Linked DNA regions of Oryctolagus cuniculus. The protein of the gene in region 2 purifies or fractionates together with the protein of the main gene of each other region. This does not show direct contact. Links are inferred from orthologs where the notes say so. Each region holds a gene or a part of one and is shown on either strand. Other genes may lie near its edges. The genes, in order: CD44 and FGFR1.

Evidence for each region.
Region 1: the proteins of FGFR1 (region 2) and CD44 purify together in Homo sapiens (affinity purification with mass spectrometry; 3 studies listed by BioGRID and IntAct, counting the BioPlex papers as one, with this or other methods). This does not show direct contact. The link is inferred for Oryctolagus cuniculus from reciprocal best matches to the Homo sapiens genes FGFR1 and CD44.

What each region holds. Positions count from the first base shown.
Region 1 is NC_091432.1:30,847,244-30,859,662, forward strand, and holds the start of CD44 (CD44 antigen), read right to left. Parts: upstream 8,155-12,419; 5' UTR 7,971-8,154; coding exon 7,904-7,970; intron 1-7,903. UniProt on the Homo sapiens protein: Cell-surface receptor that plays a role in cell-cell interactions, cell adhesion and migration, helping them to sense and respond to changes in the tissue microenvironment.
Region 2 is NC_091433.1:88,150,077-88,162,033, reverse strand, and holds the end of FGFR1 (fibroblast growth factor receptor 1), read left to right. Parts: coding exon 1-25; intron 26-760; coding exon of another isoform or gene 761-905; intron 906-2,806; coding exon 2,807-3,010; intron 3,011-3,750; coding exon of another isoform or gene 3,751-3,751; coding exon 3,752-3,896; intron 3,897-4,088; coding exon 4,089-4,210; intron 4,211-4,654; coding exon 4,655-4,765; intron 4,766-5,842; coding exon 5,843-6,033; intron 6,034-6,488; coding exon 6,489-6,611; intron 6,612-6,792; coding exon 6,793-6,863; intron 6,864-7,092; coding exon 7,093-7,230; intron 7,231-7,382; coding exon 7,383-7,488; intron 7,489-7,571; coding exon 7,572-7,748; 3' UTR 7,749-8,626; downstream 8,627-11,957. UniProt on the Homo sapiens protein: Tyrosine-protein kinase that acts as a cell-surface receptor for fibroblast growth factors and plays an essential role in the regulation of embryonic development, cell proliferation, differentiation and migration.

The DNA.
Region 1 (12,419 bases), on a different chromosome or scaffold from region 2:
TTCTTCCCACATGAAAGAGGAATAATATGGCACCACTTTCACAGGGCTAGTGCATGGAGTAAACATGTTAGCGGAGGAAACAACTAGAATGGAGAGGTGTGATTACTGTTGTGACTAACAGTGGTCAAGGGTATCTCAGAAACACAGCTAGCTGCAAAGAAGCAAGCCTAAAAGGTGCAAGAGCTTTACAAAAAGAAAAAAAATAAACTTATGCCACCAAAAAAGCTTGCAGTGACACCACAGCAAGTGCTCGGAATTACTGGACTGTGTGAATAATCTCTCTGCCCCCTGGAGTTTTGCAATTAACCTTTACTCTCAAAAACTGAAGACTCAACATGGGGTTTTGAGACCTGAGTTTGGCAAATCACGTCTCTGGTGACTCAGCCCCTCTCCACCCACCTGGAGATCTGTCTGCCCACACTTGCCCTTAAGAGGGACACTTGCCCAAGGAGGACACACCCAGTGCACCCCACACTCGGGGTGATGTGCCTCTAGAACTCTCTGTCCCCTACTACACCCATCCTGTCACCCCGTGTTGGCCTCCCTGCCTCTCAGCCTCACAGGGCAGACAATCCACCGAAAGGCAGGACCTGCCCCAGTTGCGGACAGTTTCCCACGTGGCAAGCTCCCAGGAGAGGAGGTGCAGTTTGCCATTGCCACTGTGGCTGACTGTCAGGTGCCAGGCTTCCACGCAGACCTGCTCCTGTAGGAGCTGTGGTGCTAGCCCCCTGGAGAAGAACTTGATGATTCCCCGAGAGACCCAAAGAGAAGGCCAGAGCCTTCTGTGACACACTTCTATCTCCCTCCCACTGCTGCCACCTCCCGAGGAGGGGATTTAGAGGAGTTTCAGCCTCTCGCTTCAGGGTTCCAACCTCAAGACAGCAGCTTCCAACTAACCAGCCCTCCCCCACCCCCAATGCTGGCTGCTGCTCACGGGTGCTCCATTGTAAGGCTCAGCTTTGGGTTTGCTGTCATCATCCTGCCAGGCTCCCACTCCCTTCTTGACCGAACTATCTGGTAACCCTGCTGTCACACCAGCATCCCCAGCCACAGCAAGCAGCCACCAAAGCCACAATCAGAAGGGTGAATTCTCTGGAAAAACCAATATGAGTCCTGAGGGGGCCAGTCAGGCAGCCAAGAGTCCTTGTTGGCTTTGTCCCAAGCAACACAGCCACCACCACTATTACCATCTGCACATAAATGTGTCTGAAGCCTCAGTACACTGGCCAGCATGCTTCTTTATATGTGGACATGGTTATTTCCATATGTTAGACATTCACTTCAGGTTAACAGGCAATTATCAGTCACCACCATAGACTATCACTGAGGATGGGGACCACCTCATGATCCCCGACATCGGGGGCCTCCGACTGGATGGCGGATAAGAGATGATGTGTCAGGTTTTGATTTGCTGGGATTTTTCTCCCTTTTGAAGGGTGTGAATGAATGTCCTTAGCAATCCTTTGTACCATCAACTCACACCAAATGACCCCGTGTGATTTTACTGTGAAGCTTTATGGAGGCCAGCTAGAATTCTGAGAACTGGATACAACCTTCTTAGAGATGAGGTTGTGGGATGGTTGGCATCCTATTGCACCTGGGATCCCAACAACTGAGGAGATTATGGGATGGTTGACATTCCACTGCACCCTCATCAGCTTGGAACTGTCTAGGGGGGTACTTTTGGTGGTTACACCCCAGAGGGGGAGACTGGTGCCACCAGAACATTGGGTATAGAGATCAGAGACACTGCCACATATCCCATAACTCAAAGGGCAGCTCCCTTTCTGGCCCACGCCAATAGTGTTGAAGCTGCCTTCACGAGACCGTGAGATTCTCTGGGGCAAGGACTAGTAGTTGTTACCTCCTGGCAACCCACTCCCCATTACCTAACTACAAGGTGCACTGAGCAAGTAGCACACAAACACTGGACACTTTGGCTAGATAATTACCATGGTCAGGGGTGGATCAATTCATAGTGGGGAGCAGAAGTCGACACATCCCTTTCTCATTTCCTCTTTACCCACTCAAGTCCTGTCTTGACTGCACTGCTGCCTCCTCTCCAGTGCTTTCAGTGATTGCTCCAGGCCTCCTTGCCTTGCCTCAGCTCTGCGATGCTGTTAGCTTTGCAGTGTGAACTGGCAGGCTGTCACTCAATTGCACTGTGCTACACGTGGAGAATCACTAGGTTCTTGCAGTTAAGGCCTTTTTTCTGTACTTTTCATTCCCCCATAATACCTAACACAGTGTGGGATGCCCATAAGAATGACTGATCGGGGCTGACATTGTGGTGTAACAGTTTAGGCCAACACCTGCAATGCCGGCATCCCATATGAACACCGGTTCAAGTCCCAGCTACTCCTCTTCAGATCCAGCTCCTTGCTGATATGCCTGGGAATGCAGTGGAAGATGGTCCGAGTGTTTGGGCTCCTGCACTGACATGGACACTCAACTGAAGCTCCTGGCTCCTGGCTTCAGCCTGTCCCAGCCCTGGCCTTTACGGTCATTTGGGGAGTGAACCAACAGATGGAAGATGTCTGTCTCTCTGCCCCCACACCTCGTAACTCTGCCTTTCAAATAAATAAAATATTTTTTTAAAAAAAGAGAATGACTGGGCCGGTGCCATGGCTCAATAGGCTAATCCTCCGCCTTGTGGCACCAGCACACCGGGTTCTAGTCCCAGTTGGGGCACCAGATTCTGTCCCGGTTGCCCCTCTTCCAGGCCAGCTCTCTGCTGTGGCCAGGGAGTGCAGTGGAGGATGGCCCAAGTCCTTGGGCCCTGCACCCGCATGGGAGACCAGGAGAAGCACCTGGCTCCTGCCTTCGGATCAGTGTGATGCGTCGGTCGCAGCACGCCAGCTACGGCGGCCATTGGAGGGTGAACCAACGGCAAGGGAAGACCTTTCTCTCTGTCTCTCTCTCTTTCACTGTCCACTCTGCCTGTCAAAAAAAAAAAAAAAAAGAGAATGACTGACCAGCTACATTCACATGCATATCGGCACATGTGTTCAGACTCATGTACTAATATATGTACACACACACTCATAATATGGAGATGTATACATCTAGAAAACAAGAACCAAATATGTGGTTTCTCCTGGTAATTCACACACTAAGATCAAGAAATAACATATTATATTTCTCTCCAAAGTATACATATTTTCTGAACCAAATATCAATTTCTGCGGACACTAGACTAAGAAGTTGCAAAGATGTGAAATTCTTTATGTGAAAAGCCTTATAAAGTGTTTGACTTATAATCACATGAACTCATGTATTTATCTGTAGAAAGATACAGAGACATTTAGTCAAAATATACAGCATATGTCAATTGGTAGAGTTCTTGCACATTCAAGATCCTGACTCTTCAAGAATATCTGGACTGCACACTCACTGCATCCATGCCAACAGGACTCCAGAGCGACACGCCCTAGAAGGGGCCTTTCCAAGCTCCTGGCCAATTGGGCTGGCTTCCCAAACTCCTGCTGTCCAGTTTTGGGGGAGTACACTATTAAGAAAAAATTGTACCTGGCTACGTGAGTAAAAAAAAAATGCAATTCTTATTTAAGGCAGAAAGCATCATCCTATCCCAGTAATTCTAAAGAATATTTGTGTCCTTCCCATTCAAGCAGACACAAAGGAAATTGAGTCATCAGCTTCTGGCTGTGCAAACCCCAGAATTTCTCTTTGAGACATGAAAGATCCCCTTTGAACACTGCACTGTGCGTGGCAGCATCTGCCACCTGCCGCAGCTTCTTTCACTAGAACCACTTCCTTCTCGGGCCCTGGGTGGAGTCAGTTGCAATGGAGGTGCTGGCAATACAACTGCTGCTGCTATCTTGTCCCAGCCCCAGATCTACTCCCAACCAGGACGGACTGCTGGGGAGGCCCCGCTCGCATTCCCACCACCTCCTCTGCCTCGGGGACCCCAGCCTGGAGGCCTGACTCTGCAGGCAGATCTGAAACCTCCCTTGGTTGGCCACGTGTCACCTAGTGCTCCTCACCGGGTTTCGGTTCAAGATCCTTGAGTTTAGTAGAGAGAACCATGTCAGCCCACTGCCTAGATACCTCAAGACTTCTTCCCAGGGCACACATAGCCTGCTGATGATCCTCTGAAGACAGATTCTCAGGGTCAATGCCACTGGAGTGCTTACAGGGTCAGGGTGACAGCCCTTACAAGGACATTGCCCTGACTTGTCTCTTCAACAAAGAAACAGCCTCCCTCTCTCTCTCTCTCTTTCTTTTCCAAACCCTGCAAATGAGAGCATGTCTAGAAGGCAGCTGGACTCTGATAAGGGAACTGACTTATTTTAGAAGCAAATAACTAGGTTGGCATCTCCGACAGCTGTGGCCATGCCTGGGGGGTGGGGGTGGGGTGGGGTGGAGACAGGCTAGCCCCAGACAGGGCAAGGCAGCTAAGAGTCTACAGCCTGCAAGAGGGCGGAGAGAGAAGCCACTCATACCAGGCTTCACCTGTGCCAGGCCCAGGGGACAGGCAGGGTGGGAAAACAACACACAATTTCCAAAGTCCTCCACAGGTACAGTAATGAATGGAAGGCCTGTGGCCACTGGATTCTAACAGGGGGAATTTCACACAGGGGGAATCCCAGCTCCAGCACTTGGTCGGTGGGTGAGTCACATCGTGTCTCGGAGGCTCCATCTCTCTATCTGGCACACGGAGTTAACAGTAGTAATTCACACGGCTGCTCTGAGGCTCCTATCAGAGAATCTATGCCAAGCCCTGACTTAATGCCCAGTACAGGTGCTGTTTGCTAAGTGGTACTTCCTATGGTTTTAGGAACACGTTTTGTACCATACAGTACAATAGCAAGGCACCAAGCTTTGAAAATCGGAGTGCTCTCCTACCCCTCTGGTTATGTTCCTGCAGGTGCTAGAAGCCCCACAGCATCTTCCCTGAGTGTTAGCTAAGAAATACACAAGATTGCTTCTGTCAAAACACACAAGATTGCTCTTGTACTAAACACACAAGCTTGCTCTGATACTAAATACACATGGTTGTTCTTATACTAAACACACAAGAGTGCTCTTACATTAAACCCAAGCTGGCACAAGGCAGAGTAAATGACAGAACTGCTAGGCATGCACAAGATAGCACTTGAGCATAGAACACATATTGTTGCCCCAACAGACAACAGCCTCCCCGCCCACTACAGGACCGGGGGCCAGACTCCTCCCTCCTCGAGTCAGGGGTATTTCCCTAACCAAACGGGCACAAGCACCCCGCCCTCACATCCTAACAAGTCTCAGAGAGGGAAAGTCACTCTTCCACTTCCTTCAGGGTCTTTTTTTTCCTCCTTGGAAAAAAGAAGGGATTTTTCTAAACAATCCTTAATGTCTGTCTCTGTCTCTGTGTCTATGAAAATGAATCAGAAAAGATTTGTTGAATGAATGAAAGGGAGTCTGTCATATACTAGGAATTTCAGGATGCCTAGCATCCACTCCTGCATGGGGTAATTTGGAAGAAAATGGAACTTTTTCCTACTCATCTTGTCACCACACCTTTGCTGGAAGTACATGGCCAATGTGTAATAGGGGGAATCCTTGAATTAATCAGTGCTAATCCTGGTAGGGATGGAGTGTTGCTTCCTCACTTGGGCACATGGGAACACAGCTGTAGCTCTAACTCCGGACAAAGTTCAGTGGGGACAGGGAGGGGTCTGCCACTCCCAGTCCCACAATTCCCAGACACAATCCAGTTTTTCAATGCCAAGGCCACAGTTCCCTAGCCATGACCTAGCTCACAGAGAAGCAGAGATATGATGTGCTTGGGTGGGGGGGGGCTCACCCCCAGGCCTCTATCAAGGGCCACTTTCTTTAAGCCACCCACAGCACCTCATTCAACTCTCCAACTCAGCTTCTCGGACTGACATTCCTTACCTACATGGGGCCATTTCTCTACCTTTCGCTTTTGTATACAAAGATTGGATGCTTCTTTCTACCCACAAGCCTTGCTCCACTTCACAGCTTCCCATTGTCCTCCAGAGCCCACCACTCCCCAACAAGAAGCAACTCCTTCTTCTCCTTCCCCTGTCTTCCTGCCCAGCCCCAAGCCCTCTATGAAGCCACATCGCCTCTGCAAGTCTCAGTTCCTTCCTTCCAAAGAGCTTTCTGAGCACGTGAAAGCCCGTGCCCAGGCAGCTACAGTCACTGTGCTTCCTCCAAAGGAAGGGAGGTTCTGAGAGACCACAGGCACCCCAGGCAGGAGCGAGCCCGCTGGGAGAGCCTCAAGGCTGAGGATGGTGCCAAGTACTTGGAGGTAGAACCCTTTAGAAGAAGCAGGGAGTCAGGATTCAGAACACCTTGGAACCAAAGCAGAAGACCCGGCAGGGAGGTAGGCAGCGTACAAATAAACCTCCCAGGTGGTCACAGAGAAGCCTCCTCTGCCCCCCTCCTCTGACACCAGGCCCCAACGCTCTCCCTGCTTCCAAGAGTCTCTTCTCTCCCATCCTGAGCTTTCTGCGTTTCAAGGGGCTGCTGGAGCTCCAGTTCCTGCCCAGAGCCCCTCCTGCCCTGAGCTCCTTTAAGAGTCGGCCCTTCCCTTTGAGTCTAACCCATCCTAAGCCTGGCCTTTGGCATTCAGTGGGCCAGGGTTCCAACCCAGCACAGTCCTATCTGTGTGAAACCTCTCTGTGCCTCAGTTTCCCTCCCAGAAAACAGACCCAATGATGGGCCACTGTGGGAGTTCAAGGAGGTAACACAGACCAAGGATTTAACACAGTGCCCTGCACAGGGAACGGTGCAGTAGGGGGTAGCTAGCATTGTTCTTGCTGTTATTATTACCACTATTGTTACTTCTGTCCTCAGGAAATGCAATTCTAGGTCCTTAACCTAGCCTCATCTAAAGTACCCAGGTGGGACTGTGTCTCTGGCTTTCCTGGATACCCCCAAACTGAGTTTAATAAACACTCACTGAGTATTATGAACCATAGGCTGAGCGGTCTTAATGACCCAGCTGGCACTTGTTGAAAGAAAAATTAATTTTCCAAGCGATAAGCAAATCAACCGTGTAATTATCTGTACATATATAGACAAAGAAAGGGAACACTTGGAGTTGAGCCACACCAGAATACCTCACACACTGCACGCCCCTCAGCGGCCACAGAAAGGCACCAGTCTGTTCGCATGTGATACTGGAGCCCTGGCTCCGAGGTCCCTGACTTCACGCTGGTGTCCAGACTCTCCTCCCTGGGGTGAGACTGCCAGGCAGGGGCAGGGAACAGGAGCCACATTCTTGTTTGGATTTCCCCAAACTGATTGGCAGAACAGAAGGCTGGCAGAGTTGAGCAGGCGCCCAGTCATTGTCCCTCTTATTCGCACTCCTTGCCCCAGGCTAGAACCTCATCTCCAGGGTTGGTTCAAGTTCTAGGGTTCAAGTTCAAGGCTAGGGTGGTCAGGGGCAGGACCAGACAGCCAGAGGTTGGAAATCAGGCTCACTGGGCAGCCACATGAACACAGGAGCTCTTTCTGGAAAGCTCACTGCCTCCGGCTCCCACCCCTGTAACTCTGATCACCTCTGGCCACCCTGCCAGCAGCCCCTACCCTAGCTCTGGCTCCCCTCCCTGCCTCTGCGCGCACCCAGAAGTACAGTTATTCTGCCATGTGCTCCAGCTCCGGCGCCCTCACGCCGAACTTGAGAGGGCAGCCTGCCCGGCCAACTCTCTGCCTCCTTTTCCACTCCACCAAACGGTGCTTCCCACCGACAGACTCGCCAACCGCTTAGCGCAAATCCCAGCGCTGCTCTCCTGAACTCAGTTCAGGTCACTCACCGCCCCACTTGACTCCAGCCTCCCAGGGCGGACTCAATCTACCGGGCTCCTGCCCGGCTGCTCCCTGGACACTGCGGACACCCCTGCCGCCGCCCTGGGCTGCGGCGGGCACTCACCGATCTGCGCCAGGCTCAGCTGCACTAGGCAGAGTCCCCAGGCTGCGCGCCACCAAAACTTGTCCATGGTGTGTCCCAGCGAATCGAGTGAGCAAGCGGTGGTGCTGGAGGAGGGGAGGTCCCGGGGCGCGGGGCGGGGGCCGGTGGAGGACGGGGCGCACGGGGCGGACCGAAGCTGTCAGAGGTTGGGGGCCGCTGGGCAATGAGGCCGCCTCGGAAGTTGGCTGCAGTTTTTATTCGAGGCTTGAAAGTGACCTAAGAGGGAGGGAGCGAGCGCAGGACACACCCAAGCGAGGGGCTGTGTCTAAGGCGCCGGCGGAGGTTTAAAGACGTACCAGCAGTCCTTGGCGCGGGCCTCCGCCCCTGCCCGCCCTGGCTGCCTGCGGACTCCCTGCGCCCCCAGTCCGTGCGCCCCGGGACGCCCGTCAGCTGGCTCCGCCGCTTGCTAGGATGACTGAGCCCCTAAAACCTCCCTCCCTTGTGTTTAGCCTCTGCCTCTCCTTTCCCGCTAGCTTTCTTTTTGCATTTGGTTTGGGGAGCATTTCTGGGTCTCCCAGGCAGGTGGGCGTCCTGGGCGAGGATTGGAGGTGGGGGAGGCAGGGGCTTAGGTTTCCTCCCAGGGGAGGAGGGCAGAGTGCATTCTTCTTCCCTTCGAAGAATAGTGAGGTCCGCATCGTCGGTGGCAGTGACGTTTTGCTTCTCCTTAGGACTGCTCAGGGAAAGCGACCCAAGGCCCGCCCTGGGGCTGCGATTTGGATCCCGCAACCGCCGCGTTCATTCTGTGCCCACACACTCAGTCTTCCTCCTGAATAACCTTCCATTCACCGTCCATCTATCCACCCATCTTTCCTTACGTACTTCCGGAGCGCTAATATCCATCCGGCCCACTGTCCATCTATTATCTGTTCAAATCCATTCATCTTCCCATTCATCTACTGATCCACTGGCTCCATCCATTCAACCAGCCATCCATCCATCCAACCGCCTTTTCTTCCGCACATCCTCCCACACAGCTGCTCCTCCACCATTCTGTACCTCCGCTTTCACATCTCTTTGTGCTCCCGACCCAGAAACATCTCCTTTCCAAACACCTCTCTGTTAGTTGATGTATCCATTCATCTCACATCCATCCATCATCAACATTTCTACCCATCATTTATCTGTGCTGTCATCCACCCCCACATTCAACCCTCCTTTCCTGCTCCCTTTTATACCACATTCTACACAAACATTCATCTACTCTCCCCAGTGTAGCCTACCTAGTAAATCTAAACAGGAGAAGGGACTGTCATGTTTGTTTTCTTCTTTAAAGATTTATTTATTTATTTGAAAGGCAGAGTTACACAGAGAGAGAAGGAGAGGCAGCAAGAGAGAGAGAGAGAGGTCTTCCATCCACTGGTTCACTCTCCAGAGCTGTGCTAATGCAAAGCCAGGAGCCAGGAGCTTCTTCCTGGTCTCCCATGAGGGTGCAGGGGCCCAAGGACTTGAGCTATCTTCTACTGCTTTCCAAGGCTATAGCAGAGAGCTGGATAGGAAGTGGAGCAGCTGGGACTCGAACCAGTGCCTATAAGGGATGCCGGCACTGCAGGCAGCAGCTTTACCCGCTATACCACAGCGCTGGCCTCGACTGTCATGTTCTTTCAGGAAGGCATTTCAAGTTTGAAGATATAAAAAACTACATTTTGGATCCTAATTCCATCTTCACCTAGAAGATACTATGGTGCAGTGTTTGGAAAGCAAAAGCAGTTTTAATGTGGACTACTGAGAGTAGATCTCAATGAACTTCTTGCCTTGGGCAATGCACAGAAAGTGAAAGTGACCATCTGTAGCTGTGGCAAGGTCCTGAAGGAATCATGCTTGAATTTCCAAGGAAAGGCAAGATTCTGTAATTTATTGAAAGAAATGGGAAAACTGGGCAGTGAGGCACCCAGCCACCTGCTTACCCATTTACTCATCAAATGAGTAATGGGCACAAAAAAGTCTCAAGATAGATGAGGCCTGACCCTGTCTTTAGGGACTGTCCATGCTGATAGGAAAGCGAACTTTCCGGGTGGGTGTTTGACTTGGCAGTGAAGGCACTGCTTGGGACCCCTGTATCCCACATCTCGTGCCTGGGTTTGAGTGCTGGCTCTGCTTCTGATTCCAGCTTCCTGCTAATGCACATCTCATGAGGCTGCTGCTGATGGCTCAAATACTTGGATCTCTGCCACCCATCTGAGAGACCTGGACTGAGTTCCTGGAGCTCCTGGCTTTGGCTTGATCCAGCCTTGCTGCTGCAGGCATTTGAGGAGTAACCCAGCAGATGGGACCACTCTTTGTCTGCCTCTCTTTCTGTTTATATCTCAAATAAAACATAAATGAATAAATAACAATATTTTTAAAAACCGAAAAGACTGTTACCCACAGTATAAAATAGCCAGCCCTTGTATCAGTGGATCAAAAACATTTGGGGAAGAAAACATTGTTATATATACAGCGTTTTTCCTTTATCCCCTAAGTGATACAGTAAAACAGTGATTTACATGGCCTTCATGTTGTATGAGATGTAATAAGTCACTTTTAGATGATTTAAAATACGTGACACATTCCGCATAGGTTATATGTAAATACTACACCATTCTTTTCTTTTCCCCCAGAAACCTTTTATTTAAGGGACACAAACTTCATATATTTCATAATTACATTCTATATACAGGATTTGAGCATCTGAGATTTTGGTGGCCAAGAGAGCTCCTAGAACCACAACTTTATGTGTTTTCAGGGTGCTGTCAGTCCTAGAGTAGGGAGTCACACTCGTTCTTGGGGAGCTGATCTTCCTTCTATGGCACCAACACCCCAGGTTCCAGTCTCGGTTGGGGCACCGGATTCTGTCCCGGTTGCTCCTCTTCCAGTCCAGCTCTCTGCTGTGGCATGGGAGGGCAGTGGAGGATGGCCCAAGTGCTTGGGCCCCTGCACCCGCACAGGAGACCAGGAGAAGCACCTGGCTCCTGGCTTCAGATCTGTGTGGCCATTTTGGGGGTGAACCAATGGAAGGAAGACCTTTCTCTCACTGTCTATAACTCTACCTGTCAAATAAAAATAAATAAATAAAAATTTTAAAAAAGGAAAGAAAAAAAAAAAAAGAAGTGGCGCAGCCAGGACTCGAACCAGCACCCATCTGGGATGCTGCTGGCCCTCTGTGGATGTTCACCTACTGTGCCACAGCACCGGCCCCACCAATAAGCCTTTCCATGCTCACTTTCCTCAAGTATAAATGAGCTCAGTAACAGTATCTACTTCCTAGAATTGGCAAGGACCAAATGACTTGAAAGTCCTCCATATATAAGGCAGGAGCCTGCACATGCATACAGCAAGAACCATAAATATGAGAATTATTTGAATAGTAATTTGGATGAAGAGTTTGGAAGGGGAACAGGGAGACATGAGGCTGAAGACGTAGACAGAGGCCAGATTATAAGGAAACCAGAGAATTTGAACTTGATCTCACCAGGAATAAGGAGCCGGTGGAAGTTTTAAAATGATTATTATGTTAATATGCAGATAACATAAAATTTACCATTTGAAGGAGAGTAGGCCAAGTGGCACTGGAACATTCACAATACTGTACAACCTTCACCTTTTTTTGTACAAAGTTTTTGAGTCCGTTTGGCTGTCAGCTACTTTACCTCCATTTCCTGGGAGAATATCTGGAGGTGAAAATCCATTATTGGGGCCTGTTCCTCAGCAGCTCAGTAGCTGGCCTGCCATGGCTCCAAGGTCGGCCTGTCTGAAATGATGATAGTGCCTGCAGAGCCGGCATTGAAAACTCTGCCCTGCCACTCTCCACGACCAGAGGGACACTCGCCTGAATCAACCTGGGCCAACTGGTTCCCAGGCGGAGCTGTGGAGCTCTGGGCTCTAACCAGGTAAGGAGCCAGCCCAGGTGGTCTTCCCATCAGGAGGATGCCTGGCCTTGCACACCTCATGCTGCCACCAGGAGTCCGCCTTCTTTGGGGGAAAGGATTGAAGTAGGAACAACGTTTGTCTCCCTGTGTTTCATGGAACCTGAAGTTCCTCGCTAACCCCTAAGAAACAGGGCCAGAGGTCAGGGCAAAGGCTTCCAAGTTGGCTGGGCCTCCCCTCCCCTGCTCCTTTCCCTTGCCATCCCCATCCGCACCGCAGAAGTTCCACTTGTGTCTATTTTATACAGGAGAATTTCATATGTGAGATTTCATTTTGACGGCTGGTTTTACTCTTAAGAAGATATGTAAAAAACCACCAAACAAGATCGTTTCGAATCCTGGTCAGTTTAGCAGTTAATGCAGTAAACAATCACTACCAATTAAAAAAAAAATTTGATCTGAAAGTGCTTTGCAAACTGTAGCCAGGCATGCAAATTCTAGTGGGTGCAGTTGGGCTAATTCTCCCAGCAGGGAGGCTTTTGTCTGTCCCCTTCCCGATAGTTTACTGAGGGACTGAGGCTGCTGACCCCCACACCACAAATGACTCATTTCACAGAGTTGATGAGGTGACTGAC
Region 2 (11,957 bases):
ACTGTCACCAGACCTGTGGCAAAAGGTAATGGGGAGACGGATGGGACCCTGTGCTGGGAATTTCATGTCGGCCCCACGCCCTGGAGCAGTGGGAAGCCAGCGCCGGACTCTCCCTCTTATCTTCTGTATCCTAGTGCCCAGAGCCATGGAAAAATACTCGGCCTGGGAGGCTGGTTTGGTTTAGTTCTGTGTTGGTATCTGCTGGTTCCCTCTGTGCCTTATGTGTGTCCCCTGGCTGGGTGTGTGGCTGTGCGTGGACTCCTGGGGACACAGCCACGCTGTGCTATGAATGATGCTGCAGATCAGAAAAGGGGCCAGGTGTTCCCTTGCAGAGGCCCAGGTCTGCAGGCTGCGTATGTGTGTGTGTGTGTGTGCGTGCACCCTTCCATCCCTCCTGTGTGCCCCCCTCTCCACTTATCTCGACCTGAAACCAAACAGCCACCTACTGGCCGGGCCCCATTTCTCCATGCCGCCCGCTGCCCGCATGCTGGGATGGGCCAGTGGCTGCCGGCGCCTGGTGACGGGTCGTAACCAGCCGTGACCTGCTGGACTTCCTCCCCAGGGCCGCACTCTCTTCCTCTCTAACAGGTCCCGCTGCTGGTGGTTTCTATGTGTTCCTTGTTGCAAAGGAGACGCTGGGGAGCATCTCCCGCTCTGGTGGCCTCCCCTCTGCGCACTCCCCCACCCTTCCCTGTCTCGGTGCCTCCTCGAGGTCTCGCGTCCCGCGCTTGTCCATTCCGCTTCCGTTGTCTCTTCCTAGACTGCCGGAGTTAACACCACTGACAAAGAGATGGAGGTGCTTCACTTGCGGAACGTCTCCTTCGAGGACGCGGGCGAGTATACGTGCTTGGCGGGTAACTCTATCGGACTCTCCCATCACTCTGCATGGCTGACCGTTCTGGAAGGTATACACTGCACTGCTCCTCTCGCTGTCCTGCCCTCGCCATGGGCACGGGGGAGCATGCATTGTGGGGCCGGCGGGGGAGACACAGAGCCCCGGGAGAGAGAGAGCAGTGGGCTCTTGCCTGCCGCACGCCCTGTTGGCTGTGGCATTGAAGGCTCGCTATGGAGCTTTCCTGGTCTTGCGGGAACAACAGCAGCCTCCCACTGGTGCACCTGCGTCTGGCTCTGTCCCCTCCGTGGCCAATGCAATGCATGCTGGGGATCTGGATTCATTTCGGCAGCCGGGCTCTCCTGCAGGGCAGGCTTCTCCTGTCCTTGGGTCCTGCAGCCTCCCCTAGGTCCCTGGGTGTCTGAGATACCTGATTTATTTATTTATTTTATTTTTTTATTTTTTTGCACCAATCCCAAAAGTTTGAGAAAGAGCCCTGCTCTTCACACTGCATGTAGGCCCTCAGCCCAGAGGTGCTCAATGCTTGTAGGGAGCGGCACTTGTCCAGCCTGCATGCCAGGTCCTCTGGCTGGGGAGAAGCCACCTTTCTAGACAAGTGAACACGACCTGCTCTAAGTCAGGCCTGCCTCAGGCAGCCTCAGTGGGGCCATGGCAGTCCCCCTGCATCCTCTCTGGCTGCTGTCCCCGGCGGGAGGTCTGTGTCGAGCCAGGAAGGAAGAAGCCTGCAGCTGTGCAGGGTGGTGGTGACCGGAGCTGGGTGTGCTGCATCTCCGCGTGTCCCGCATGTGGGTCTGGGTGCCATCTGCTCTCCTGTCTGACTCCGCCCCCTTCTGTCCTCACCCCCCTCCACTTGAGGCACAGAAGTGTTCTCTGTTTTCATCGTCGTCCTGTCTTCGTCCCGTCTGTCTGTGCACCCCATCATTTGTCTTTTGTTTCTCGACGTTGGGGAAAGGAGTAAAACAGAAACACTTCTGTCATCAGCTCTGTCGTCTGCCGGTCAGGCCTTGAGGTCCTCAAGGGCCTGGGCCTGGGCCTCGTCCTGTGCCTCTCTCTGGGTTGGGGTGGGGATAACTCCCGCCACCTCTGTGGCTGGCTGCAGGGTTTCTGAGGGGCGGATCAGGAGGGGAGACAGCGGTGACGGGAAGAGGGGCCCCTCGCGAGGGTGGGGCTGGGATGAGAGTTCTCTCCCGGGTACAGACAGGTGGGCTGAACTGGCTTGGCTTTTGGGGGGTGGCAGTGAGTTCCAGATGGAAAGAGGGCAGGCAGAGAATAAAACAAGGCACCTGCCGCTCCCTTTTCCTTTGTGAGTGTTTGTTAGGAGGTAAAGCCCGTGAGTAGAACTCTTGTGAGAACTACACAGAAAAAACAATTCAGACACGTTGGGAAGTGGAATCCCTTTGCAAGTGGCTTGGCTAGGTGTAAATATTTACATGTCTGGTCTAGTGGAGGTGACTGACACAGGTGTCAGGACACAGGCCGGGTGCCGCCGCCCACACTCAGGTGCTGGGGCAGACACAAGTGACCAAGGCCTCGGCCCTGCCTCTGGGACCTCATCAGAAACGGTCTGTCCCCATGGGATAAGTGTCCGAGGCTCTGCAGTGACACTGAGAAAGGCATCCAGAAGTGACTTCTCAGCTGCCCCTCTCGGGATACCTGAGAGGGGATACCTGGTATCCAACCATCCCCCCAGCCGCAGCTGAGTGAGGAGGCTCCCAAATGAGAATAGATGTCTAGTGCTTAGCACTTAGGGACTTTGCATCCGGTTAAGGACGCCTCAGGGATCCCAGGATGCCTGACCCTCTCGGTGCCAGAACCCCACCCCTAGCTTACATCTTCTGAACACCCCTAAATGAGGCAGAGGAGATGGGTGTTGTTTTTCTAATGCAGTGGGGAAACCCCTTGTCAGCCTGGGGCTCCCCTGCACCTGCTAACACCCTGTTCACACCGACTCAGCCCTGGAAGAGAGACCAGCCGTGATGACATCGCCCCTGTACCTGGAGATCATCATCTATTGCACGGGGGCCTTCCTCATCTCCTGCATGGTGGGCTCCGTCATCATCTACAAGATGAAGAGTGGCACCAAGAAGAGCGACTTCCACAGCCAGATGGCCGTGCACAAGCTGGCCAAGAGCATCCCCCTGCGCAGACAGGTAACAGAAAGTAGATGGGGGATTTGCACGCTTGCGCTTTCTCTTGCTGTGCCTCCGGGGACATCCGCAGGGTCCCCCGATGCCTCAGCCTCTCCACCGTCCCTCCTCTCCCCCTTTAGGCTTTGCTTTCTGACTTCTGGGCCAGGCGTGTTAGAAGAAGGGCCTAAACCCAGTGTTCCAGAGTCAGTTTCACACTGGTCTAGCCTAGAAAATTCCCTGTACCCTCCATGCCCCTGTTGAAACGACCCTGTTCACATGCATGGGGAGAGAGTCCTGTGTGGTCTGTATGTGTAGCTGATGCCGTGTATCTGAGCACCTCCCAGGGCCAGCTGAAGGGACAGAGAAGCAGGGTAGAGAGAAGAGGACCCAAGTCAGTTCCCAGGTCTGAGTGGCGGGCACTCAGAACCCTGTGCAAACTCTGGAACTAACTTTGGGCGTTAGAAATCCATCATCCAAGGCAGGGTCTTTGCCAGGAATTGGGGCACGAATGAGAGTCATTACTGCAGTGTTGCGTTGTGGCAGGTCATGCTGGGAGAGGTGTGTGTGGTCTGCTATTTCCAAGGTGAGTGAAGCCCAACACAGCTGATCAGTGGCAGAAATAAGTCAGGATGAGAACACGGGTCTCCCGGCCTCCCGCAGTCTTTCTGCGGCTCCACGTTGGGGAAGGAACCTCAGACGCAAGAGACTCAGGCTTCTGCGGCTGCATCCCATCCCCTTGCTAGAAGGTAACCCCACTCTTCCCTATAGGTGTCGGCTGACTCCAGTGCATCCATGAATTCAGGGGTTCTTCTGGTTCGGCCCTCACGGCTCTCCTCCAGCGGGACCCCCATGTTAGCTGGGGTCTCTGAATATGAGCTGCCCGAAGACCCTCGCTGGGAGCTGCCTCGAGACAGGTGAGGACACCCCTTTGTTGTGGCTCTTAGGGTGGAGATTGTGGGTGCCAGGACCTTCCGGGGAGTCAAGGCATGTGCAGTGCCTCCAGACAGAATCCTGTCCATTTCTTGCTTGCCTTTGGGTATCCTCTGTGTGTTTGGCATTTACCAACCCTGACTCTTGCCAATTTCTCTCCCTCCTCCCTGCCAAAGACTGGTCTTGGGCAAACCCCTGGGAGAGGGCTGCTTCGGGCAGGTGGTGTTGGCGGAGGCCATTGGGCTGGACAAGGACAAACCCAACCGTGTGACCAAAGTGGCCGTGAAGATGTTGAAGTGTGAGTGATGCTTGTGTCTCTGCGTAAAACAGCCCCTTCCCGTCTTCCGAGCAGACTGTGTGCAGCCGCCCGCCGAATCGGACCCCTCCTCTGGTGCTTTCCCTGCCCCTGCCTGCTTTGCTGCCTCTTGAGCTTACCTGGGAGTGGGAGGGGCGCTCTGCACTGCGAGAGCAGTGTCTCCTCCCTCTGTTCCTTGCACACCAGCCTAGGCTGTAGTCAGGTGTGTGTTTCAGCTTGCTCACCGTTGCCCCTGCCTCACTCACAACAGTACTCCCATATGAGAGCAGGGAAATGAAGTGTTTGGTGGAGGAGCAGAGCGGGAGGGAGCCTCTGCACAAAGGGGTCCCTCGGGCACACAGTCTGCTGGTCCCCTTGGCTTTTATCCTGCCCTGCTCCCTCCCAGAGCAAAGGAGTCTCATGCCGTTTTCTGGTTTATGTGTAAAGCGGATGCAACAGAGAAAGATCTTTCCGATCTGATCTCAGAAATGGAGATGATGAAGATGATTGGGAAGCACAAGAACATCATCAACCTGCTGGGGGCCTGCACGCAGGACGGTAGGCACAGAGCCGGGCTGGCCCTCCCATCACCTGCAGCAGACCGACCAGGCTGGCGGGAGGGGGCTGCACTCAGAGGGGAGGGAGGGAGGCCTGTGTAGCAGTGACTGCAGAGTATCTCCTCGGGTCTGGGCTGCTGTCCATTGCTGCTCCAGGACACAGACACTGGAGTCCCACACATGATGTGTGGGCAGGAACAGGTGAGCCAGCTGTGGCTTCAGCAAGGGCTGTCACCCCCCAACCCCCAGTTTTGCTCAGGAACTTTGGATTACGTTGGAAAGAATCTCTCTCTTTTTTTTTTTTTTTTTAAGAATAATTATTTGGTTGTTTGGGTTTTTTGTTTGTTTTAATTTTGAGGGCCAGCACTCACTGTGACATAGCAGGTAAAGTTGCCGGCTACAGTGCCGGCATCCTGCCGGTTCGAGTCCCAGCTGCTCTACTTCTAATCCAGCTCTCTGCTGTGGCCTGGGAAAGCAGTGGAAGATGGCCCAGGTCCTTGGACCTCTGCACCTGCATGGGAGACCTGGAAGAGGCTCCTGGCTCCTGGCTTCAATTGGCACAGCTCCAATTGTTGCGGCCAATTGGAGAGTGAACCAGCAGAACATTTTATTGATTGATTGATTGATTGAAAGGCTGAATTAGAGAGATCTTCTAATTACTGGTTCACTTCTCAGATGGCCACAACAGCCGGAGCTGGGCCAGGCCAAAGCCAGGAGCCTGGAACTCCATCTAGGTGTCCTGCGTTGGGTGGCAGGGGCCCAAGCACTTGGGCCATCCTCTGCTGCTTTCTGAGGTACATTAGGGAGCTGGATCAGAAGTGGAGCAGCTGGGACTTGAACTGATGCTCATACGGGATGCTGGTGTTGCAGGTGGCAGCTTTTAACCACATTGCGCCACAACACCAGCCCCAGGAGGAATTCTTTCCCTGACTTTCTTTGGGGAATAGAATGACTTTCCCTGGTCCCCCAAAGAGGAAGCAGGAAGGGGAGCAGATGTACGGTGTTGGGGTACCACTTCGTTGTGACACAAAACCTGCTCACCTGCCCCTGCCTTGGTGACTGCCTCCTGTGCTCCCAGGTCCCTTGTACGTCATCGTGGAGTACGCCTCCAAGGGCAACCTGCGGGAGTACCTGCAGGCCCGGCGGCCCCCGGGGCTGGAATACTGTTACAACCCCAGCCACAACCCCGAGGAGCAGCTCTCCTCCAAGGACCTGGTGTCCTGCGCCTACCAGGTGGCCCGAGGCATGGAATACCTCGCCTCCAAGAAGGTACTGACCCGAAGGACTCCCCAGGGGGAGGTCGTCCGTCGTGGGAACCGAGTCCTCCTCTGCTTCCCCAGCCTGTGTAATCTCCATTCTCCGCGCGCTGTCTTGGGCTGTCCGGGAAGTGGGGGGAGGGGCAGCACAGCAGTCAGACTCGATTTGATTCTCGTCTGTGCGGTCCCACTTTCTGCATGGCCTCAGGCAAGCCACTTAGCACAAACTGAGGCTAATACTGATGTCCGGGGGCACCATGGGACAGCGCCTGTCAGAGTTCTGGGTGGCTCTGCTGCAGGTGGGAACATGGAGCTTGGCGCACACAACCCTACAGGCAGTCACAGACATGAAGGCTCAGCCAGCTAAAACTAAGGACGCAGGGAAGTGGGTTTGCTGAGAAGCCGGGATCCGTTTCCCAGTGGTGGTGCCTCACCTGCCCGGCGCCCTGTGCTCTGTACTCTCCGCAGTGCATACACAGAGACCTGGCCGCCAGGAACGTCCTGGTGACGGAGGACAACGTGATGAAGATCGCCGACTTCGGCCTAGCACGAGACATTCACCACATCGACTACTACAAAAAGACGACCAACGTGAGTGCCCAGGCTGCCGCTGCTCCCGCCAGGCGGCTCCTCCCACTTGGCTGTTTGTTTGAAATTTTAGCCAGGGTGGACAGCTTTGGCCGAGAAGCTGGGGGGTAGTAGCATAGGTTGGGTGTGTGGCACCTGCTGAGCCACCCCTACTCTCCACCTCTCCCCTCCATACTGCCTGCAGGGCCGGCTGCCCGTGAAGTGGATGGCGCCCGAGGCGTTGTTCGATCGGATCTACACCCATCAGAGTGATGTGTGAGTCCGGCCGGGGGACAGCGGGAGAGGGGAGTTCCAGGACCATGCCCTCCTGGCCAGCCTTTGTGGCCGGAAGCTGGAAGGCCAGCGTGGCCAACCACGGCGGCTGTTCCTCTGCTCCAGCCCCCCGGGCCCTCCCTTTTTGGGGGAAGGGAGGCCTAGGAGGGTGCACGGGAGACAGGGAAGCCTGAGCTGGCGCCAGGTGCAGTGGCCGTGTGCGCATCCGCAGGTGGTCTTTTGGGGTGCTCCTGTGGGAAATCTTCACCCTGGGCGGCTCCCCGTACCCCGGCGTGCCTGTGGAGGAGCTTTTCAAGCTGCTGAAGGAAGGCCACCGCATGGACAAGCCCAGCAACTGCACCAATGAGCTGTAAGCCGGCCTCTGAGGTCTTGGGGGAGCGGGATGCTGTGGGGCTCCTCCCCTTCCGGGGCGTGGCCATTCGAAACCCGCCCCCGGAAGGCCACCTTTCTCTCGCGCTGGTGCCCTTCCGCCCTGACTGCACTTCCGCTCTGCTGCCGCAGGTACATGATGATGCGGGACTGCTGGCACGCAGTGCCCTCCCAGAGGCCCACCTTCAAGCAGCTGGTAGAAGACCTGGACCGCATTGTGGCCTTGACCTCCAACCAGGTATGGCTGCCCCAGGCTGGCGCACGGGGCCCGCCATGGCATGGGGACTGGGCTTGAGTTCCGGCACCTGTGTCCCGTCGCAGGAGTACCTGGACCTGTCCATGCCCCTGGACCAGTACTCGCCCAGCTTTCCCGACACCCGAAGCTCCACCTGCTCCTCGGGCGAGGACTCCGTCTTTTCTCACGAGCCGTTGCCCGAGGAGCCGTGTCTGCCCCGACGCTCGGCCCAACTTGCCAATGGCGGACTCAAACGACGCTGACCACCGCAGCCCGTCTCTCCCCGCCCAGACTCCCACGGTCAGCCGTGGCCCTTGCCCACAGCCCCTGCTGGACTCACTGCCTCTCCTCACGCCCTTTCCTGCTGGCGGGAGCCGGCTGCCCACTTGAGGCCTTCCTGCGAGGCTGCCTTCGCCGCCGCCCCCTACCCCGGGCATCCCTTAGCTTCTCCTGCTCGTGAGAGAGAGAGAGGAGCCAAGGGGCAGGTGCTCGCTGAGGGGCCGCTCCGTTCCCTCCCACGGGATGGACCAACGCTCCCCTGCCGCTTGCCGCTGCCCGGAGGGTCGGGCGCGGGGCCAAGCGGGCCGGCCAGGGACAGCTCCCTAGGCTGCCCGCTTCTGTCGGTTTGTCCGTGTCACCGGAAGCTCCACAGCCCTTGCTCGCTGGTGGCGGGGGCCTTGTCCTCAGGGCTACAGCTGCTCCGCATTAGATGGTGCCGGTGGCTTATTAATTCCAATACTAACTCGCTTTGCTGACCAAATAGCTGGCACCAGAGGAGACAGACAGGCTGGGAGCAGTTTTGTGGCCCTGGGGCCCAGCCCTGAGAAACTGGGGGCTTTGTACATAGCTATGAAGAAAACACAAAGTGTATAAATCTGAGTATATATTTACATGTCTTTTTAAAAGGGTCGTGACCAGAGATTTACCCACCGGCTAAGATGCTCCTGGCGGCTGGGAGGCATCGGTTGCTATATATTAAAAAAAAAAAAAAAAAAGCAAAAACAAAAAAAAAAGGAAAAAAAAGGAAAATGTTTTTAAAAAGGTCATATATTTTTTGCTACTTTTGCTGTTTTATTTTTTTAAATTATGTTCTAAACCTATTTTCAGTTTAGGTCCCTCAATAAAAATTGCTGCTGCTTCATTTTTATATGGGCTGTGTGAAAGGGGAGAGAGTGTCCAGTGGAGAGAAGGGACACCCGTGGGCCCAGGGCTGGGTCCAGAGGGCACCGCGTGCTCCCCAGTTTCCTTGAAACGTCTTCCTCCTGGTTCCTACACCCAGACCCCTGGTGACAAGCCTCCTACCCGTGACCACGCTTGGAAAGGCTGAGGGGCAGAAAAGCTGCACCAAGGGCAGGTGGCGCTGGGCAGAGCACCACGCCACTGCAGCCTTTACCACAGGTTGTTTCCTCAGAGGAAACGGGGCTGGGAGGGTTGCAGGAGGAGGGGGGACCTTGCCATAGCCAAGGGCTAGAGCTCAGGTGATAACAGAGGGAAAGTGGTTTATCCTCGAAAGATCTGCAGAAAACTCAAACCTAGGTCCCAGTTTCTCCCCCACCCTCTGCCCATGTGGGCGTGGCTTCATCTCTGCTGGGTCCTGGGAGGGAAAACTTGTCACCTAAAAAGCTGCTTCATTGTCTTCCCACAGATAGTTCTTCTGTGACCAGGCCACCTTGGCTGGGGCAGTCTCTGAACTTGACTTCCTGTAGCTGTTCCTGTATAAACTCCATCCCATCCCCCAGGAAAAGGGGGAAAAATTCCCTGAAAGGGTTTGGGTTTTGGCTGCTTGGAAATTTACTTCTGCCACCTGCTGGTGTCGCTTGTCCTCACCCAGCGGGTCCTGAACCCTTAATGGTTCAGGCCCCTCAGCCTTCTCAGTGCAGTCTCGTTTCTGCAAGGGAAACGGGGTCACTGCTTTAAGTTCCCTTTCTAGCTCAGTGGGTTTTTTTTTAGCAGCTGCAGTGTTGGTCCCACCATTGGGAGAATCTCATGTCTGTAAATGTTAGCATTTATGTTTAAAGAGGGCATGATTGGGTGAACAGAGCTAGGAAGTGGATTTTAGCTCTCAAAATCATTTCCCTCCAAGACCGAAGGGTGGCATGTCTCCCTTGTATGGCGGCGGTGATTTCTGCCTTGGCCCTTGGTGGTGTGAGTGCGTGGAGAACCTGCGAAGACCTGTGTGTGCTTTCAGCAGCGGCACTAGAGAAGTAGAAGGCACTGTTATTTGTGACAGTGATGTCCTTGCTGTTGCTGCTCAAGTCACCCGCAAGGATCCCCAGAGACCTGGCTGGCTGTCAGATAAAAGGTAGTGACATTGACCTGAGAGAAAATGAAATGGCCATTTTACTTAGATGACCAGATTGGGTCTCCTGGGGAAGGAATCCAGTCTGTAATGAAGACTTCTGTCAAGGCAGTGAATCTCTCTGGTTTCCTGAGGGTTAAGGCTGGGGCCTGGGATCAGCACGGCATTCATCCATTGCCGTCCCGCCTCTCCTAATTGCTGTAGGCTGGGGATCATCAGTCCCTTGGCACTGCTAATGTAATGTATTGATCGCAGGTAAGTAAGATTGAGTATCAGAAGAAGCAGAAATTTTATCTTAATGGTAATGAAGTCGCTGTGTTTGTCAGCTGCCACTGGGGGGAGCCAGCAAGCTAAATGCTCAGTCAACATCAGCTCATGGGCCAGCCTTTCAAGTCTGAGCTGCCTGCATACTAACATGTGCTGGTGGTGGATGGGAAATCTTTAAACCTAGGTTTTAGCACTAAAAGCACAGAAATCTGGTTGGGCATTAGGCATAGGAATGCAGAAGCTGCTTGGGATACCTGCATCCCACCTCGGAGGGCCTGGGTTCAAGTTTCTGCTTCCAACTCCAGCTTCCTGCTAATGGAAGGCAAGGGATGATGGCCCAAGTACTTAAGTTCACCCTCATGAGAAGCCCAGTTCTCAGCTTTGGCCCAACAATAGCTCTTGAAGGCGTTTTGGGAGTGAACCAGTCAGTGGGAGATCTGTCTCTACCTTGCAAGTGAAAAAGGATAAAGAATTCCTAAACTGCCTGGTGAGGTTATTGGCAGCTGGTCGAGCCAAGGCATCTGTGTGTCGGGCAGGGTAGAGAGCTGGGGAAGGGGAAAGCTTGGGAGCCTCCTGACAGCTTTCCACCCCTCCGCTGTGGTAAGAGCCAGGAAGAGGGTAGGCAGCAGGTCAGGGCGGATTCCCTCTAGATGGGCACCAGTGTTCGGGACCGTTTATACTGTACTGCTGCCCAGATCCAAGTCTTGACACCTCAGAGTGATGTATTTGGGGAACTTGGTGCCCAGCCAGTTCAGTGGGTTTAACTATCTACTCCAGGAGGGCCAGGGCGGGGGTGTTCTGGAGCTGGCTCTCAAGAACCGGTTGTGTGCACCTCTTCCCAGCTGCATTGTTCAGTGACTTGGTTTTGACAGCTTGACATCTCCCACGGTGGGAGGCTGTAAGTGCTACAAATCAGGCATTGCCCCACCCCACCCCGGTAACTGAGCTGGCTGTTGGTAACTTACTGGAGCCACCACCAGCTAGGTTTCAGCATGGGATTCTGTCTAATAATGGTAGAACCCAGTCACTGAGCGCCCTAGTGATAAGAGCAAAGCAACATCTGTGACTTCCTGCTGTTGCAAGAATGGGAAGAGGTGTGTCAGGCGTCTCCCATGCCAAGCTTCAGCAAAAACACAAGACCAGGGTCCCTTGACCTAACCATTCCCATTCTGCTCACAGAGTGAGCCAGAAAAAATTGCAGGACAGGCCAACAGCATGTGGAAATAACTCAGCGGAAGCAGGACTGAGCAGCTGAACTACTGATACCTTCCCCACACTTACACACCTGAAATAAACACCTAGCATCTTGAAGGTGCGGAGATTTATTGTGAGTGGCCTCGCCAGGCCGGTGGCAGGATCCATGGGGACTGGTCACCTCGAGGACTGGAGTTGTTTCGTTTGCGGGCAGGGGTGGGGATGGGAGTGGAGGAGGGGCTTGTCCCCTGATAGAGTAGTTTAGGAAGCATCCCAGAATGCACCTTTGCTAGTGACATTTCTCGTTTAGGTGATCCCAGACTGGGCAGAGTGGAGTTTTCTTTTTGGTTTAATGGGATCCCGTGTAACTGCCTTCAGTTTCACAACAAGTAAAGAAATATAATTTCAATCGCCCACAGGCCAAAATACCTTTTCCCTTCTAACAGCTTCCCCAGGTAAGAAAAGTTCCTGGTCAGCTGCTGTCAGTATTAACAACACTAAAAGCAACTGAACGTCAGTCTGAATGGAATACTTGTTCCTGGGGAGCACAAGGATCATCTCCGGCTGTAAGAGCCCCGTGACTGACTAATAGTCTTACTTGTGAAAGACAAACCGACCAGAAACACACTCAGCACAAACAAATGGTTAAGCCTTAAACCCTTAATTATGTTCCCTACAAAATGGTGGCTAATGAAAGCCACATGTGCTGGGA